Tamandua tetradactyla: one gene and its partner. Each later gene encodes a partner of the first gene's protein in a complex. Links are inferred from orthologs where the notes say so. Each region holds a gene or a part of one and is shown on either strand. Other genes may lie near its edges.

Evidence for each region.
Region 2: mitochondrial import inner membrane translocase subunit Tim23 (region 1) and TIMM17A share a complex: the UniProt entries of both Homo sapiens proteins name them as parts of the TIM23 complex. The link is inferred for Tamandua tetradactyla from reciprocal best matches to the Homo sapiens genes TIMM23 and TIMM17A.

Annotation. Positions count from the first base shown.
Region 1 is NC_135339.1:5,643,422-5,651,966, forward strand, and holds the start of mitochondrial import inner membrane translocase subunit Tim23, read right to left. Parts: upstream 3,849-8,545; 5' UTR 3,707-3,848; coding exon 3,601-3,706; intron 3,510-3,600; exon of another isoform or gene 1,497-3,509; coding exon of another isoform or gene 1,374-1,496; intron 1,225-1,373; coding exon 1,166-1,224; intron 1-1,165. Other genes in the region: PARG (poly(ADP-ribose) glycohydrolase), read left to right, coding at 4,176-4,395, 8,482-8,545. UniProt on the Homo sapiens protein: Essential component of the TIM23 complex, a complex that mediates the translocation of transit peptide-containing proteins across the mitochondrial inner membrane.
Region 2 is NC_135330.1:59,015,142-59,023,393, reverse strand, and holds the start of TIMM17A (mitochondrial import inner membrane translocase subunit Tim17-A), read right to left. Parts: upstream 3,366-8,252; 5' UTR 3,276-3,365; coding exon 3,250-3,275; intron 1-3,249. UniProt on the Homo sapiens protein: Essential component of the TIM23 complex, a complex that mediates the translocation of transit peptide-containing proteins across the mitochondrial inner membrane.

The DNA of each region.
Region 1 (8,545 bases):
TCTTTCAGCTACCCCACGACACTGGAGACCAAAATAAATATCAATATAATGATTCAGCAGTCATACTCATTTGTTAAGTCTTATCTTCTGTTATACTTCTTCATCTCCTTTTTTTTGTGATAAATAACATATATACAAAAAAGCAATACATTTCAAAGTACAATGCAACAATTAGTTGTAGAACAGATTTCAAAGTTCGGTATGGGTTATAATTCCACAATTTTAGGCTTTTACTTCTAGCTGCTCTAAGGTACCAGAGACTAAAACAAATATCAATATAATGATTCAGCAAGCATACCCTTTATTATATATTGACATGTACAGAACATTAATTGATTTTTGGATGTTAAACCAACTTTGCACTATTGGGATGTGCACATACTACTGGCTGAAGCCTCTGGATTAGTTCAGTCTGGCACCGTGATACTGCAAACTGAGCTTTTAAAAAACCTGCCATTTACAATTTTACCTGTGTAAATAAGGATTTTCCCCGTACAAAAAACACAAAAACAAATACAAAACCAACCAACCAAAACAAAACAAAACTGAGGATGCTGAGGCTAATATAAATCTTAAATTTGTATATTACTAATTTCAAATGTTTGCATTCATCACAAGTTAATTCTTATAAACTTTTAAACAAAATTATAAATCTGACCTAATAAAATAAACACGTAGTGAGGTACAAATTTTTCCGCCTATTCTTATATAAACAGATTCTGTTTTAAGAGTCCCAGGCTTTTCATTTTTATTTACTCTTTTTTGGGGGGGTGCATGGTCCTGGAATCGAACCTGGGTCTCCCATATGGAAGGAGAGTATACTACCAATGAACCACTCATACACCCTCATTTTCATTTACTTTTAACTTGGTACTAATGCTTTCTTAAAAACTTTGTAACTACCTACCACAATTTGTTCTTTTTATTAATTCTTTGTTGTTTTAAGAAAATGAACCTTAAAAGAAAGTCAATCAACTGGTTTCAGGGAGATGTAAGCCAAGTACCTAAGATTTGTGAGAAAAAAAAGGGAGACCAGAGACTTGGTGGCTTCAGAAGTACATGTCATACAAACATCCAAGTCATCATAAATACCCAGCAGTTTTCCAAAATGGCAAAATAAAACACCAATTTAGGAAAATTATAAAAGGACTAATCTTAATCTTACCTGCACAAGATAGCGAGGATCCACATTTAAATAAGGAGACAGAGGGTTCATACCAGTTACTAGAGAAAAAACAAAATGTCGTATTGCAACAAAATTATTTAAAGCTATTTCATTTGGAGTTAATTCAGTGATTGTTACATGGGTTTTGTAATTCGAATTTATAGGCTCACTGATTGTCAATGCACCCTGCCCTTCTCTTAAGGCTTACCCTTCCTATCTGGCAGGCTGGGGGCGTGTCTCCTCCTGGGGCTCTCAGCCCCAACTTGGTCTTGCACTGGTGGTGCAGATTCTCACACCAAGAAAATATGGGCCATAATATAGGTTTAATCATCAAACTAACAGGAAACACAGCCTATGTCAATTATAGAACTAACTACTTTCTACTTTGCTGAAATAATGCTTGGTAACTACACAAATTGCAAAATAAGACCAAGAGAAGACAAATTTCATGGGGGAAAAAAACGTGTGTTTAAGGCAGTTTCTTCAGATCTTAGAGCTGACAGTTGCTGTCTTGAGTTACCACGGCAGGGAAGAGAATTCTTTGGTCATCACCATGGGGATGGGTAGTGACCAAAGAAAATACAAACCTTCAGAGATGCAGAAATGAATTTCACTAACTTTAAAGAGAGAAAACTATATCTAGGAAAATCATCTTTCTTTCATTAAAAATTTAACTTCTGACTACCTCCATATCTCAAGTGATTGCTCACAAATGTCTACATTACCCATGACTGTTGTCTTTTTAATCAATTCCAAGTCCTGTTCTATTTTCAATATAGATCTTAAACTGTTATTTATCACTATCTCCATTGCTACTACCCTAGTCCAACATCAAGTCTCACCTTGACTATAGCCACAGACTCCTACCTAACTGGAATTCTTGCTTCCTCCTGCCCCTTTGGTTACTTTCTATATACCAATCAGTGATTTTTAAAGGAAATTCAATCACATCACTCCCTTACTTAAAGCTTTCTAATGGTTTTTCTCTATAGTTGATCAAATCCCAAATTCCTCAGGATGGTTTACAAAACTTACCTTAGCTGTGATTCCCAGCCTCTCTGACCTATTAACTCCTACCATTTCAACCCCCTTGCAACTCTGCAGACACACTGGCTTAACAGTCAGTTGTTTCTCAAACATGACTGTTTTGTCTAATGGCACGCATACTAGCCAACTTCTCTGTCTGGTCACAGCTCAAATGTCATCTCCACTGAGTGGCTTCCCTTGACCACCTGCTCCAAATTACCCCTGTCCCATGACCATCTCATGATCCTGTTTTATTTCCTTTACAGCACTTGTCATTATCCAAAATGCTTTTATGTGTTAACTGGCTCACCTCAGGAGGATGCAGGAGCCACAAATGGAGAAATTTTTTTTTAAACTGCTGTAGCCCCTCACCCTGAAAAGCAGCTGGCACACTGTAGGAGGTACTTAATTAACACTGTTCACCTTACAGTGCCTCAATTTAATCTTCAAATCTTTAACCTAATCAAATCAATTTAACAATATTTCATCACATTAAGGAAGTTCCCTTTGTGTTCTGAAATTCAGAGTGCCTAAGTCATTACATATAGTATAATTTGTGTTCTGGACCCAGTTCTGATACTGGTGACACTATGTATATAAAAGGGCACTTTTTGTCCTTGAGTGTGAAAGTCCTACAGAAACATGTCCAGGGATTCTCCAAAGAGAAAATACTTTGGCAAAGGGCTTATCCACCACCAACTTTCTATTATTTTTATGTCCAACTTCTAATTTATACAGTTGAATATCTACGACTAACAAGTTTCAAACACCTGAAATGCATATTCCTAGGATTGAGGGCAGGGCAGGGATAGGGTTTCCACGTCTCTGCACTCTGCATCTTGCATATTTCTCCACCTAGAATCCCCACTTGGCTTCTCTCTTCATGTCTGTAAGTCACCTTTAAAGTTCAGCTCACTTCCCAGTTCCTTCATATGGTTTCCTGGCTTGGCTCAACTCATATATGTTTACCTCTTAAATGGACACAATTATTCAACGTTTTGCCTTCACGGCTAGGTAGGGAAATGGATATTGATGTCGAATACGTGGCTGTTAATAAGCTATCTAAAGACTCGCTATATGGAATATATTTACTCACAGAGCTGGGCTCCCTCTTAATATAAGGGCCAAACACACAGGCAACGTATCCGAAGAAAGAAAAAGCACCACTTTGGATACAAAATGGAGAATACAAGCAGCATCAGAGTTCAGGTCAACCTCAGAGAGCCTCTCCGGGATTCACGGGCCCCCAAATCCTTTCAATCCTCAAAAGACACTCTAACCCCTCCTGGAACTGAAACTTGTGAATGCCCGCAAAAAAAATAATAAAAAGAATAAGGAATACCACAAGGTCGTGTAGTCGCAAAATGAATCAGAATCAGAAATAGTCGCAGGCTAGGCCCGATACTTACAAGGAACGCCGGCCAAATCCGCGTGCGAGTAACCCGCTCCGCCGGCTCCGAAAAAGCCGGCCAAGCCCCCCGTAGTTTTGTTTCCACTTCCCCCGCCGCCCTCCATGGTGTGCCTGCGCCTGCTTCCAGCCGATGCCTCAAGCCGGGGTCGTCCGCTCGGCCGTTGCACCTCACTAACCGCGGGGAGACCCGCGTTGCCACCGCCTCCTTCACACGCTGACCTTCCGGACGGCAGCGCTCGCTAAACTCGCCACACTTCCGCTTTGCGACAGCGTACGCCCCGGAAGCCGGAAGTACCTGACGGCAACCTTCCGGTGGTGGGAAAGTGAACGAAGCCAGAGTCAAAGCGGCGCATCCTGAGGCAGGTGGGGGTCCCTGTAGAAGAGGGAAGACAGGCCCCTGGATAGGGGCCGGCTTGGGAGGCCCGCGGAGCAGCAACTGCAGAAGCCGGCAGCGGCGGAGAGGGAATGTTGTGGGGAAGCGCCGATAAGGAGGCGCAGTCCGTCCCTCTCAGGGTTAGTGAATGAAACTCTCCGCCGGGGTCGGCCCGGGAACTGTGCGCCGTGGGTCCCAGCATGAATGCGGGCCCTGGCTGTGAGCCGTGCACCAAGCGACCCCGTTGGGGCGCCGCTGCAACTTCTCCGCCGGCCGCCTCGGACACCCGCGGCTTCCCCGGCAGGCAGAAGCGCGTCCTCGACCTCAAGGACGCTCCCGTGCAGTTCAGGGTCCCACCGTCCTCTCCAGGCTGCGTCCCGGGGCGGGCGGGACCGCACAGAGGCAGCACCACCTCTCTTGGTACGTGGGAGCATAAAAGTCTTTGTCTGTCTCCCGGACTCGAATCTCTTCCCGGTCTCTTAGGACCCGGGGACCCCCATCATTCCTTTCTGGCCTTGTGCGAACCATTCTGTGGTTCTCTTGCTGAACTTCCTGGCTTCTGCCTTCAAAAATCTATCAGGGAACATAAACAGTTATAAAGTCAATATAATAAGGGGTAATGGATGTTGTCATAAGTGAAGGACAGAGTTTAACAGTGGAAGTCAGAAGTACCACCTAGCTTAGACTGTGGGACCCAAAATGGGATGCTTATTTGAGGCCTGAAGAATGAGTAGGAGTTGACTGAGTGAAGAGAAGATAGAGAAGTATTCCAGGAGTGCGGCTGGTGTATAGAAGAGACTAATAACTGCAGAGAGGTAGGCAAGGGTCAGGTCATAACTGGTCATGCAATTTGTGCTGAGGCTTTTGAACTTTATTCCTAAGGGTAAGGAGAACCCTCTAGTGGGTAGGGGAGTGACTGATCAGGTGTGTGTGTGTGTGTGTGTGTGTGTGTGTGAAAACTCCCTGTGGCTGGTGTGTGGAAAACGTAAAACATTGGAAGGAGGCAGAGGTGGATGAGACCCAAGATTAGTTAAGAATTAGTCTAGGTAGTAGATAATAGTGCTTAGACTTGGATATCCAAATAGTGGATGGTTTTAGAAAAGAATGGGAAATGTGGATATGGGGCTCTGTGCCAGAAGTGTAGATTTGGGAGTTCTTGGCATAAATATGTAATTGATGCTGTGGAAATAGATTAGATCAAATGAAGTGTGTTGAGATAAGTAAACACAACCTGGGACAGAACCTTTAGGAACACCAACATTTAAGTGAATACTAAAGAGTAGAAACCAGGGAGATAGCAGAAAATGCTTGCCTCTGTGGTGCCATGCAGAGAAGAGAACATTTCAAAAAGGTGCATCAATCAACTGGGCAAAGTCAGGTAGGCCTATGGTGAATGGTTTATATGTAGGTCTCTTGGGACTTAGAAACAATGGAGACAGACTTGAACTAAGTCTTGAAGGAGGAACAGTGTTTGCTGTATAAAAGGGGAGAAAACATTATATAAGCAGAGGAAACAGCTCTTGCAAAAGTTGGTAGGACTGGATAGGAATGTTGGAGTGAGGGTGAGAACATGGGCAAGAGCTTATAGGTAATGGAAGCCACTAACATCTTTTAAGCAGAGGAATGCCATTTGGTTAATATTTTAGGAAGGATGTCTTTGGAAGTATCTTTTGGACTTTTTCTGCCTACACCCTGCAGACTACATTTTATCTAGTATACAGAGTAAGAAATATATGTAATGTGGTAAATATTTCATATTTATGACTGAAACAAATATTTCATGAAATAAGACCTACCTTAATTATGTATGGTGCATTCTTATATCCTCTTTCATTTTTAAAATGCTCATCATTTTTGGAAGTTTGTAAAACACTCGATTAGAGAATGTTAAGACTGTAGAAAAGAGTGATGGAGGCCAGTTGAAGGAAGCAAATACCCTTGACTAATAGGTGATGTAACTGTTCTTTTAATGATAATGCTATTGAAGGTGGAGAGGAAGGAATGGATTTAAGATTTAGAATGTAGATTTCAGCGAATGTGGTAAAGGAGAGTACAAGGGAGAGGAATTGAGGATAACCTCAACGCACTATATCTGACTTCTGTGAGAGGGTACTCTGTGGTTCCATTCATTTTATTTGTATATAAAGGAGGTGGGGCTAATTCCTGGGGGTAAAATAGTCAAGCCTCATTGTTTGGATCTTGAGTTTTCTGCAGAAGAGGAACCAGATTAATACTTGGACTGTACCCCATCTGTGTAAATATTTTCTTTTATACCTGACATAGGACATTGGTTAATAGAATGTTCAAAGTAAATGTATATCAGAAATTATTGTTTCATAGTTTGAAAATCTTTTAGTAAAATTCTTTTCCTAAAAAAAAAAACAAAACACCTGTATTTAGTTATTTTAGAAGAATAGGTAGGGTAGGGAAATGGACATTTATTTGTTTTCTTTACATTTGGTATTATTTATCTGCCTATGTATGTTTCTCATATTAAAATCTGTGAATGTACATATAGGTAGAAATCAGTATGCTGTTCGTATCTTGGTCAGGAATAACTTACCCAATTGCGTTGCTATAGAAGCTCCGCTTTTCTGCCTGTTATGACTACCTAGAGTGCTCTTCTCACCCTTGGAAGTATGTGTTGTTGACCCCATTTTACAAGAGAGTAGTAGAAACTCAAAGAAGGAAAGTAACTCACCCGAGCTGGTATTAGTAAATGATAGAGCCAGAATTTCAACCTAACGCTGCATGACTCCAGAGTTTGTATCTTTTTTCCTTCTCCTTTTTCCCTTTTGCCTTGCTCTCATTATTTCTGGTTAAAAGAAAGAAGCCTCTGCATGATTTTATGCTACTTTAGGAATCAGAGTGGTAACATCTTATAACAGTCCTGTGATGTGTTAGGTAAGAAACCTTTGAAAGCCAGAGCAGTGATGCGGGAAAGAGAAGTAGCAGTCCTTTACCAAGGGTACTTGAAGGCAAGAAAGACTGCCCACACTAAGAAATGGTTTATTAGCAGAAAATAATGGCCCTTCACCTCTTGATTCTTTTCCTTCATACCTTTCTCAGGTTTCCAGGTTATAGAATTCCTGAAGCCAGACAAAACAGATTCTCCATGTCAGGGCTGCAGGAGAGAGCCCTCTTCCCCTTGTACTTAACTGGAACACTCATCACAGTTTTTCACGAAATAATGTTGTATATAGTTATTAGGCTCTGTAGATGTATCACTGTAGTACTGTTTCATGTGTGTTAGAGGGACCTAGTCTTTGCATTCTGTTTAATCCTTACGTTTATGGAAAAGGTGTTTTAAATTCTAAACTGACTCAAAGAATGAATCTGTTATTTGAATCAATCTTGTGTTTGAGATTTTACTAAGTAAAATCACTAAAATAATGGTACTTAACAAGAAGAATCATAAACTTCAATATTTTATATGTAATTTTTATGATAGAAACTATTTAAAAATCTATTAATGAAAGATTTTTACTAATTGAAATATCAGTACTTTATGGCAAATATAAATCACATGTCTTTTGAATATTTTTCTGGTATAAAAGTCTCTTCAAATCTGAAATGTATTTTAATTACTCTATCATCTCAGATGTAGATAATCGGTTGATTTGCATGTTTGAGCCAGCATCTCTTTTGCTTACATTATAGTGTTTGAGAAGACATAGGTATGAATTGAGTCTTTGACTTAAGGAGGTGCCTAGATTCTTACATTGCAATTTGGAGAGTAGATGAGAATGTAAAGATTTTATCTGTCCTTATACTAAAATTTTATATACATTTAGCCCATAACCAGCACATTAAAATTTGACAGCTCACTTATTTCTAAAGCTCGTATAAAATGTGGCTTGGATTTGTTATATAGCATTTCCCTTTCCTGAGCCATTGATTCTACCTTTGCTATTGTTTACCAGTCATTTCTATTCAGTCATCTCTTTGGCAGCTCGTATTTTGTATTTACCCAATCATATTTTGTTCAAACATATTTGTCTGTATTTCCCATTTCTGCTTAATATTATCATCCTTCAAGTCTCTCAGGTTTGGAGCTTAGAGTCATCTTTAACTTCCAGTCATTGTGAAGTCTGTAGTTTTTCCTCAGTTTTTACTCTTTATTTTCACAAGAACTAGTTTGTGCCCTTGGTCAGTAGTTCTGAGAGACGGTTAATATTCGTGTTTTACAGATAAGGAATCTGAGACACAGAGAAATGACCTCTCACAGTGAGAGTGCCAGGATTCAAATCCAGGTGGTCTGTTTCCAGAGCCTGCGCCTCATGTATAAAGCCATACAAACTCTTTTAGGGGCCAGTCATCTTCTACCCTATGCCATATGTATATAGTTATGCTTCTCACTTATATCCTGTTGTCTGAGGATAGAAGAAAGTAATTAATCTTTGTTTGACCACAGAACCTAACATAGTGCCTTGCATGTATAGTATGCTGTAGAGATAGTCTACTTGAAGGAATGTATGCATATATATTAATTTTATTTTTTTACAGTTTTCAAACAAAAGACTATTACCAGTTGGATGGACACTAAAGCAATCAAGACAACTGAATCAGA
Region 2 (8,252 bases), on another chromosome or scaffold:
TTGGACATTTTCGTGGCTTCAAAACTGCAAGTGAATAAATTCCCATGGTTTAACCCAAAAAGAAAATAACAACAAAACTTATATTCCCGCTATAAACTCACTATTCCACCCACATACCCTATATATTAACCACTCACATTCCATGCCCTTCATACTTCCATGCTTTGGCTCAGTAGCTTCCCTTGCTTGAAACACACTTTGTCCTCTTCTCTTGTCTAGAAAATTTCATCTTATTCTTCAAGGCTCAGCTCAAATTTCACTTTTCTGAGAAGCCTTTCACTCAGGCTATGTTAGTCAAGGTCCCCAGGTCCCCGGTAAAACTCTGCTCCTAGCTGTGTCGGGCACTTGAACTGGGATTATGTACTTCTTTGTATTTCTCTCTCTCCTTCACCTCTAGACACCAGGCCCCTGAGGGCAGAATCTGTTTTACTCATCTCCAACTTCCCAATCCTTGCTTGGTGCATTACAGATAATAAATGTTTATTGAATGAATAAATGAAGAATGAGTGCTAGCCAAATACTAACCAACTAACCAACCAAACAAAAAGTAGTAAAGTGATGTAGGCATGAGATTAGTTCTGAGTTCAAATTGATTTACTACTTCCTCGCCCCATCACTTGCTGCAAGCTTACTGTGTTTGTTTGCTCACCACAAAATGAACATAATACCACTTACAGGTTTGTGGTGGGGATTAAACAACAATGCTAAAAGCAATTAGAATGTTAGCTATGATTATTAAAAGAATAGGAAAATCACATTATATTTTACAATTAAAAGGTAAACAAAATGAAATTTAGAATAGTAACAACCCTAATCACCCAAATGATGGAATCTACAAACCACAAACAAAACACCTAGTTTGCTTTGTACTCTGTGGGTACTCAAGTACTCATTAAGGGTAACAGAAAAACTAAAATTTCAATGATTAAGCACCAAAACAAAGTAAGTGGCAGAGATTTATCACCCAGTGACCTTCACGTTACAGAACTGTGCATCTTGGCTGTCAGTGATGTCTGCATCAAAAACTTTCCACTGAAACAGCATATTTACAGGAATGGAATAGGGAACTGGACAATTAAAAAATACTCAACTGCTTGAGTTTTACTGACTACAAATTTTTTACATTTAAAAAAATAATTTTGATCCAAATTTACTTATCCTCCTCCTTGGCAATTTACTGTGACAAGAATAAACATCTTTTTGCTCTAAGATTAATCAATTAATATAAACTTATACAGAATAGTCATCGTATGCAAATTGCTGTGGTAGATGTGTTTTTTTTTGGGGGGGGGACCCTAATAAGTTTAAGATTTGTTTTCTAGTCTAAGTGACCCTACTAATTATCAGGATTTCAAACAAATGGGCATTTAAAACTTATTAGAGAACAGCAGGATTCAGATCAGAAAGAAGTTAGACTTGTGAGAGTGGATGTCCTTAACCAAGGCAAGACAGAAACCTTTTCTGAACAGTATAGCTAAACCAAAATGTTCCTGCAGAGAAGTAATGGGTTATATGAAAGAAAAACTGAAGCCAGTAAACGCCAGACAAATGCAAGAGAAAACCAGTAACTAACACTAACAAGATGAGAAGTTACACATTAAGTATCAACTACGTTGTAGGTGCCCTATAACTTAAATAAAATCTATGAACTCCAAGAAAGCTGAATTAAAAGTTACAGAATCCCTACTCTTTTAAATCAGCAAAAAAATCGTATCCTCTCCTATTTTCCAGAAGTCTGTCTGAAGTTCAGAGATTAAGAAACTTGCCCAAGGTCATAAAGGTAGTAACTAGTAGAACCAATTTAACAAAAATCTAAGGTTCATATTCTTTTCACTTTATCATATGGTCTAGGGTTTTTGAGCAGAGAACACATGATAAAAATACTGTAAGAACAGAAAGGTTTAAGTTTTCAAATAATTCAGACTGGACACTGTGTGTGTGGAAGGTAGCGGAGACAGCTTGTAATTTTGAGCTTGTATGAACTGAGGGAATCCTGCTTCTTACAAAAAAAAACAAGCAAGCAGTTAGAAGAACAAAGCAGTTATGACTACATAACTACAGTTACGACTAGTTAACTGACTGTACTGCTTCAAGACACAGAGGGTGTAATAAGAGGAAACAAAGGGCCTGGCTAATGAGTTAGTATGAAAACTCATTCTCATTTTACTTACTAAAGATAAATATTTTATGCCCCTGCCAACCCAAGCCATCACAAAATATCTGAAAGCAATTAACCACTACTATACATGCTGTGTAACAAATCTCAATAGTCTAGTGAAAAGGGGAACAACTGCCTTTGAAAAAGAAATTTAAAAGAGTTGGAAACTACTGAATTATTGCTATGCCACATTTGGGGGTAGGGGTGGAAGCAGCCAACAGGATATATGCCGGCAAAGGTAATAATTTAGTCCTGGGCACTTTCACAACTTAAGGACACCTTGGATCTTGCTCTTACACAATAAACATCTGATTAACCTAAGTAAGATTTGATTTCTCTTTATGTCCCCAAAAGCCTGAAAACTCAGGAAACTTGGGGCCGTCTCTCTGACAGCAAATGTAACTGTTTTATAATTATCTGTTTATGTGCCTGATTTATTCATATATTTATTTCTTAAACCAAAACACTTAATATAGAAATCTCACTTAAACGAATGAATGAATGTATTTTTGTTCATGGTTTTTCAGGTAAATTTTGCTCCCCCAACCCCCACAGAGGAATTCCAAGCGAATAAATGAGGCTTGGAATTATCCAGACCATTTGGGGAAAACCTAAGCTCCACTCGTTTGAAATCTTTCACCTTGCGGACACACATCACGATACAAATAAGGCCGGAGGCCTATTTTCCCTTCCTCAACGTAGGAACAGGGGAAAGCGAAGCGTAGGGATGCGTCCAAGGTCACCACAGCCGGCCGAGGGAACAACTAATGACTCCACACCGGCCAAGTACGCTTTGGGTTGCGAAGAGGCTCCGAGACTCCATCGAGTTCAAGCCTGGACCTTTCTGACCATCCATCGCAAGGTCACCGGGGTGCTGAGCGCTGGGGGGCGGCGACGCTGCTTCACGCGGCCCCGGAGATACACGGCTGAGAAGCCAACTGGCCGTTCAACTCCGCGATGCCCACGTTACCAAGCCCACATCATCGAGCCCGCGGTTGAGTTCGGCTTTCACCTAGAGAGCAGGGATAGGAGAGAGGGAGGGCCGTGGGCAAAGGGGCAGGAGAAAGACAAGGACAGTACATAAAGCTTACCAAGGTTCCCGGGCGTACTCCTCCATCTTGACTGCACCGGCGCGAGCGATGCCGGGCGAACTGGGCGGAGCCTGACCCCAGCGGCGGAAGTGATCCCGAGAGCAGGGCGTTGTAGTCTACGGGGAGTGGGTCACCGTTTCCTCCCGCAGCCAATGGGAGCGCTGACTCCTGGGTCAGCGAGCCCCGCCCCGCCCAGGTCCTAGAAGGCGCGGCGTCAGGATTGCGTGGGCGGGGAGGCCCCTGAGTGGCGAAGGGTTCAAATTACCCTGAAATTATGCTGAAGGTTCGGTGATCTGAGATAGACTTGGTATCACGCCGCTAGGGTTCACCGAACTTTAAAAGTTCACTTAAATGCGTTTTTTTTTAGTTCTTTGGATGGCGATCGTGAATGAATGCTATTGTCATGAATTGCGAAGTTTTTATCAACTTATTTGAGCTCTTTTAGGGAGGACAAATGCCTTATCCCTTTTTTATAGTCAGTGTCTGGGATGTAGTAGGTCTAAATAAGTGTTTGCGAATGGAACTAACTAGGCCAACTGATGTGCTATGACCAATTTGGGGCCCTCCATTTGAGAGACACAGAAGACTCATGTGGGTCTTCCTCCTAATGAGTTACCAGGAGATGTGAGGGATGTTTAGCCCAGGAAAGAGGAGACCGAAAGCGTGGGGACCCATTGGCTCCTTCGGACTTAACAGTCCACAAAACCCCAGTCGTGCAGGAAGCTGTTAAAGGAGCTCTTCTCCATTTAGCACTTTAGTAGTTGACTTTATGTATATGTTTATTTTATGGAAACTTAAGTGTAATAAATATAGTGGAGACTGCAGGGACGAATGAGGTCCCTCCCGAAAGCTAGGAGATAAGGCAAGCACATGAATTGAACACTATATAGAACTGAAGATTGTCAGTGAATGCGTCTTGTGCAGGAGAAGTACAACTCGTTTGAGTAAGTTCAAGAAGACCTATGGGACTAGGTGATGTTATCAATAAAGTTTAAATCTAAGTGTACAGGCTGGTGAAAGAATATAGAAGATGGACAATGAGGAACCTAGAATAAGGAAGTCAAAGAGAAATTTTTTCCTATTTAGTCAGCACTCCAGATCTGGTGGGCATAAATATTTCAGTAACTAGAGATATGTACTCTTGTTACCAGGCAAAGGTTGTGGATTCTTTTGTCTTATGTGCTCAATAACCAATTCCTGAGATACCAGAGATTCAACAGGAGAGGGAGTTTATTGCTACGTGCATAGTAGGAGAACAGATGGCCTAGCGGTCCAAAACTCTGTCTCCTGGAGTTTAGAGTATTCAAAGCTTTTAGGAATTTTACCAAGGGAAGATGAGATCATTCCAGATAGCAAGTTCAAAGCGAAAAAGAAGGTAGTGTTATCACTATCATTTTCATAGGAGGACATAAACTGAAAGGAGGGGAGGTAGACTATCACTTCAGTGCTAAAGGTGTAAGCCAAAAGGAAGGGAGACAAGTTAGATTTCAATGGCAGAATCTAGCTGATATTATTTACAAATGTCCAGGGCTGAAGCTAGTTAATGGCTGACTTTAAATTCTTCAGTAGCATTAGGGCCTTTGCCCTATAAGAAAACGTCCAGATAAAGGGGTTACAGCCCTTACAGTCACAAAGGCACGAGATAATGGCTTTTACAAACATTTCAGGTATCAGGGCAGCTGGATTACAATTTAGAAATTGCAGGTATTCCCTTCCGTTTACTCCAATATCCCAGAAAGCAAAAAGGAATATGATTCAGTAATCAAAATCATCCCTTAAATCCTCTGTGACACTGTCATGAGACAGGGATATTTTCCTGGTCTTGCTAGGGCCTGAATGAAACATCCTTTTCCTCTAGCCACCTCCCTTTGCTCTTTGTCCACCTTTGTTATGCAGTCCTCTGGTTGATATTTAGTTTCTGAATAGATTTTCCTATAGGAGAGAATGTCCTAACCTTTGCTCCTAAACTATTCTTGACTACTTTGTAGTTAATTTGTTTTATGCATCTGCGTTTTATGAGTTTGGCTCTTTTGAATCAAATCAATCACCAGTAGAGGTGATAATATTGTTTCTGAGTTCACAAAGCAGAGGGCTAGACTTCAACTGTAGTTACCCAGATTACTTCATTCCAAAAGTCTTTATCCTAAAGGAGCTTACTGTTCAGGGAGGCCCTGCTCAAGTAACCAGCCAGCATCATGAGTCTTCACCCTCTGCTCTCTTTTTTTAAAAATTTTTTAAAGAAAATGACAAGAAAGGAACACAAATATTCTTAACATACGATCATTCCGTTCTACATATATAATCAGTAAATCACAATATCATCACATAGTTGCATGTTCATCATCATGATCATTTCTTAGAACATTTGCATCCCTCTGCTCTCTTTTAACTGCAGCAGATAAAGGGTGTAACGGACAGTTTTGGTGGGGCAAGACCTAAGATTTAGCCTTTGTGAACTAGAAGAGGAAGATGTCACCTCTCCCTCCAAAATAACCACTTACATTTGGTTCTAGGATGCTGAACTTTCTGGAAGAAAATAGATGGGGACTCTTTAGGAGTCTTCCCTGAGTGAATCTTAGAAGAAGTTTAGAGGATCTGGGTTGGCCGCTGAAGGAATGGTCAACGGAAAGATAGAAGAAAACAGTAGGAATCCTTGAGAGAAAACTCACCGTAAAGGTGACAGGTGTTTGAACTGATGACTCAGCACACCAGGATATGTTTTGCTGCAAGTCAGTGTTTTGGGACCAGTGTGGGACTCATGCTTGAACCCCCTGTGATCTCTGTGCTCTGGTATTGTTTGGAGGCATATACCTCTGTATGTGAACATCTCCCACCTGTGTTGATGAACTTGGTGAAGTAATGAGTCTGGCTGTGTCAGGTATCTTCTTCCATACCGTAAAGTAATTACCCACCCCACCCACTTCCTAGTCCTCAGTTAGCTTTTATTCATCTCCCTGTCTTGCACAGGTAGAGCTGTTGTTTTTTTCTTGGATGTGGGTGAACTGGTAGAGGTTAGGATTGGGGAGAAATGGCCATTTAATAGATATTAAAGGTGGATAGGTAGTACTAGAACGCGATAGTAACTAGTGGGATTAGTCAACTGTAGGTCAATTATAAGACCCCTATTCTATACTCATCACTGTCCTTAGTTTTAGGGTTGGAATGGGGGAGTACAAAAAATACTGAAATGTTTCCTTTCCTGAGAGGCCTCAGTGTGGTTGGCGAGAAAGAATGCACCTTTAAGGAATAGATATTGGGTCAAAATTATAAAGTACCAAAAGGTGTGACATATAGCACCATATTAGCCCAGGCAGTTTTCAAAATTGAACAATTTGAATGCAATTGTGAACACTGAAACTAAGGACAGTGAGGAGCTCGTAGGGGTTCACGAAACTTTGGCGAAAAGTTGGTATTTAAGCCATGACTTGAGAATGGTAGGACTTTTTTTTTTTTTAAGAGAAATTGTAGTTTTACAGAAAAATTATGCATAAAATAGAGTTCCCATATACCACCCTGTTACTAACACCTGGCATTAGTGTTACGAATTCATGAAAGAACATTTTTATGATTGTACTGTTAACCATAGTTCATTTTTTACAAAAGGGTTCCTGTGTTATACATCTCTATGGGTTTTTTTAAAAATTTGTTCCATTAACATATGTACAACCTAAAATTTCTCCTTTTAACCATATCAAATATATAACTCACTGCTGTTAATTATGTTCACAATGGCTGCCATCACCACCATCCATTACCAAGACTACCCCAAATCGAAACTCTGTACATTTTTTTTTTTTTACAGTTTTTCCTTTTATTAACAAGCAAAATAGTTAAAACAAAACAAAACAAAAAACCTATGCACAATGACAACCTTAAATTTGGAACAGCAGTACTGCTGGAGTTCACAGATGTACCTGGGGTACATGCTCCCTCACTGCAAGACAAGACCTAGGCACATGACTGTGCATTTAGGTATATGTGACTAAGAAGAACCAGAGTGACTGAAACCACTGGAGAAGAGAAAGTATCAAGAACTTTTCATCAGGCAATCCCAAAGCGCTCTGCTCTTGTCCTCTTCTTTGCCTCTGTATCCTGTGTGGTTCCAGTTCCAGCTGAACTAGTGACAATCCCAAATCGCTCCTTCCACTTTTTCAGCTTTTCGTCATCTTCAGATTTTCTGGAGATTGAAGAAACATTCAAATCAAATCTTTGAGCTCTTTCCTTTAGCTTATCCAGGTTAACCATAGGTTTGGTGTCAGATGATGGGCTTTTTATTGGAACTGAAGAAATGCCAAACCTAGCTGCCCGACAGCTTTCTTACTCTCCAAGCTCACAGGAACATTGAATCATTCAGCTCTTTTCTGCATTCTCTCAGTCTGTGGTATTTCAGATGTATTTTTTACCACTTTCTTTTCTGCTGACACATCAATAGTTTTTTCAGGGAAGTTTTGGCAGGCAGTTCTAAGGGCTTTGGTTCTTCTTCCTCTGTTTCATCTCCCAGTACATCTTCTTCATTTGCCTCCTCTTCAGCATGCTCTTCAAGATATGCCTGGAGCCTGTTGATGAGATCTTGTTTAATTCCTTTGGTTTCCAAACCACAAGCACGACATTCCTGCTTTAGTTCAGCAAGCTTCAGCTTATGGAGCTCCACCGTCTCTGCCGCCATCTTGTTACCCCCTCCACTCCGAAACTCTGTACATTTTAAGCTTTAACTCTCTATTCCTTACCTCTTACTTTGTCACCTAGTAACATATAAGTCTAGATTCTGACTCGATGAATTTGCTTATTCTAATTTTTTCATATCAGTGAGATCATGTAGCATGAGTCATGTCTGGCTTATTTCACTCAGTATGATGTCTCCAAGTTTCGTCCATGTTGTCGCATGTATCAGAACGTCATTCCTTTTTAGGGATGTATACATTTTGTTTATCCGTTCATCAGTTGATGGACACTTGGGTTGCTTCCATCTTTTGGCAGTTGTGAATAATGCTGCTGTGATCATC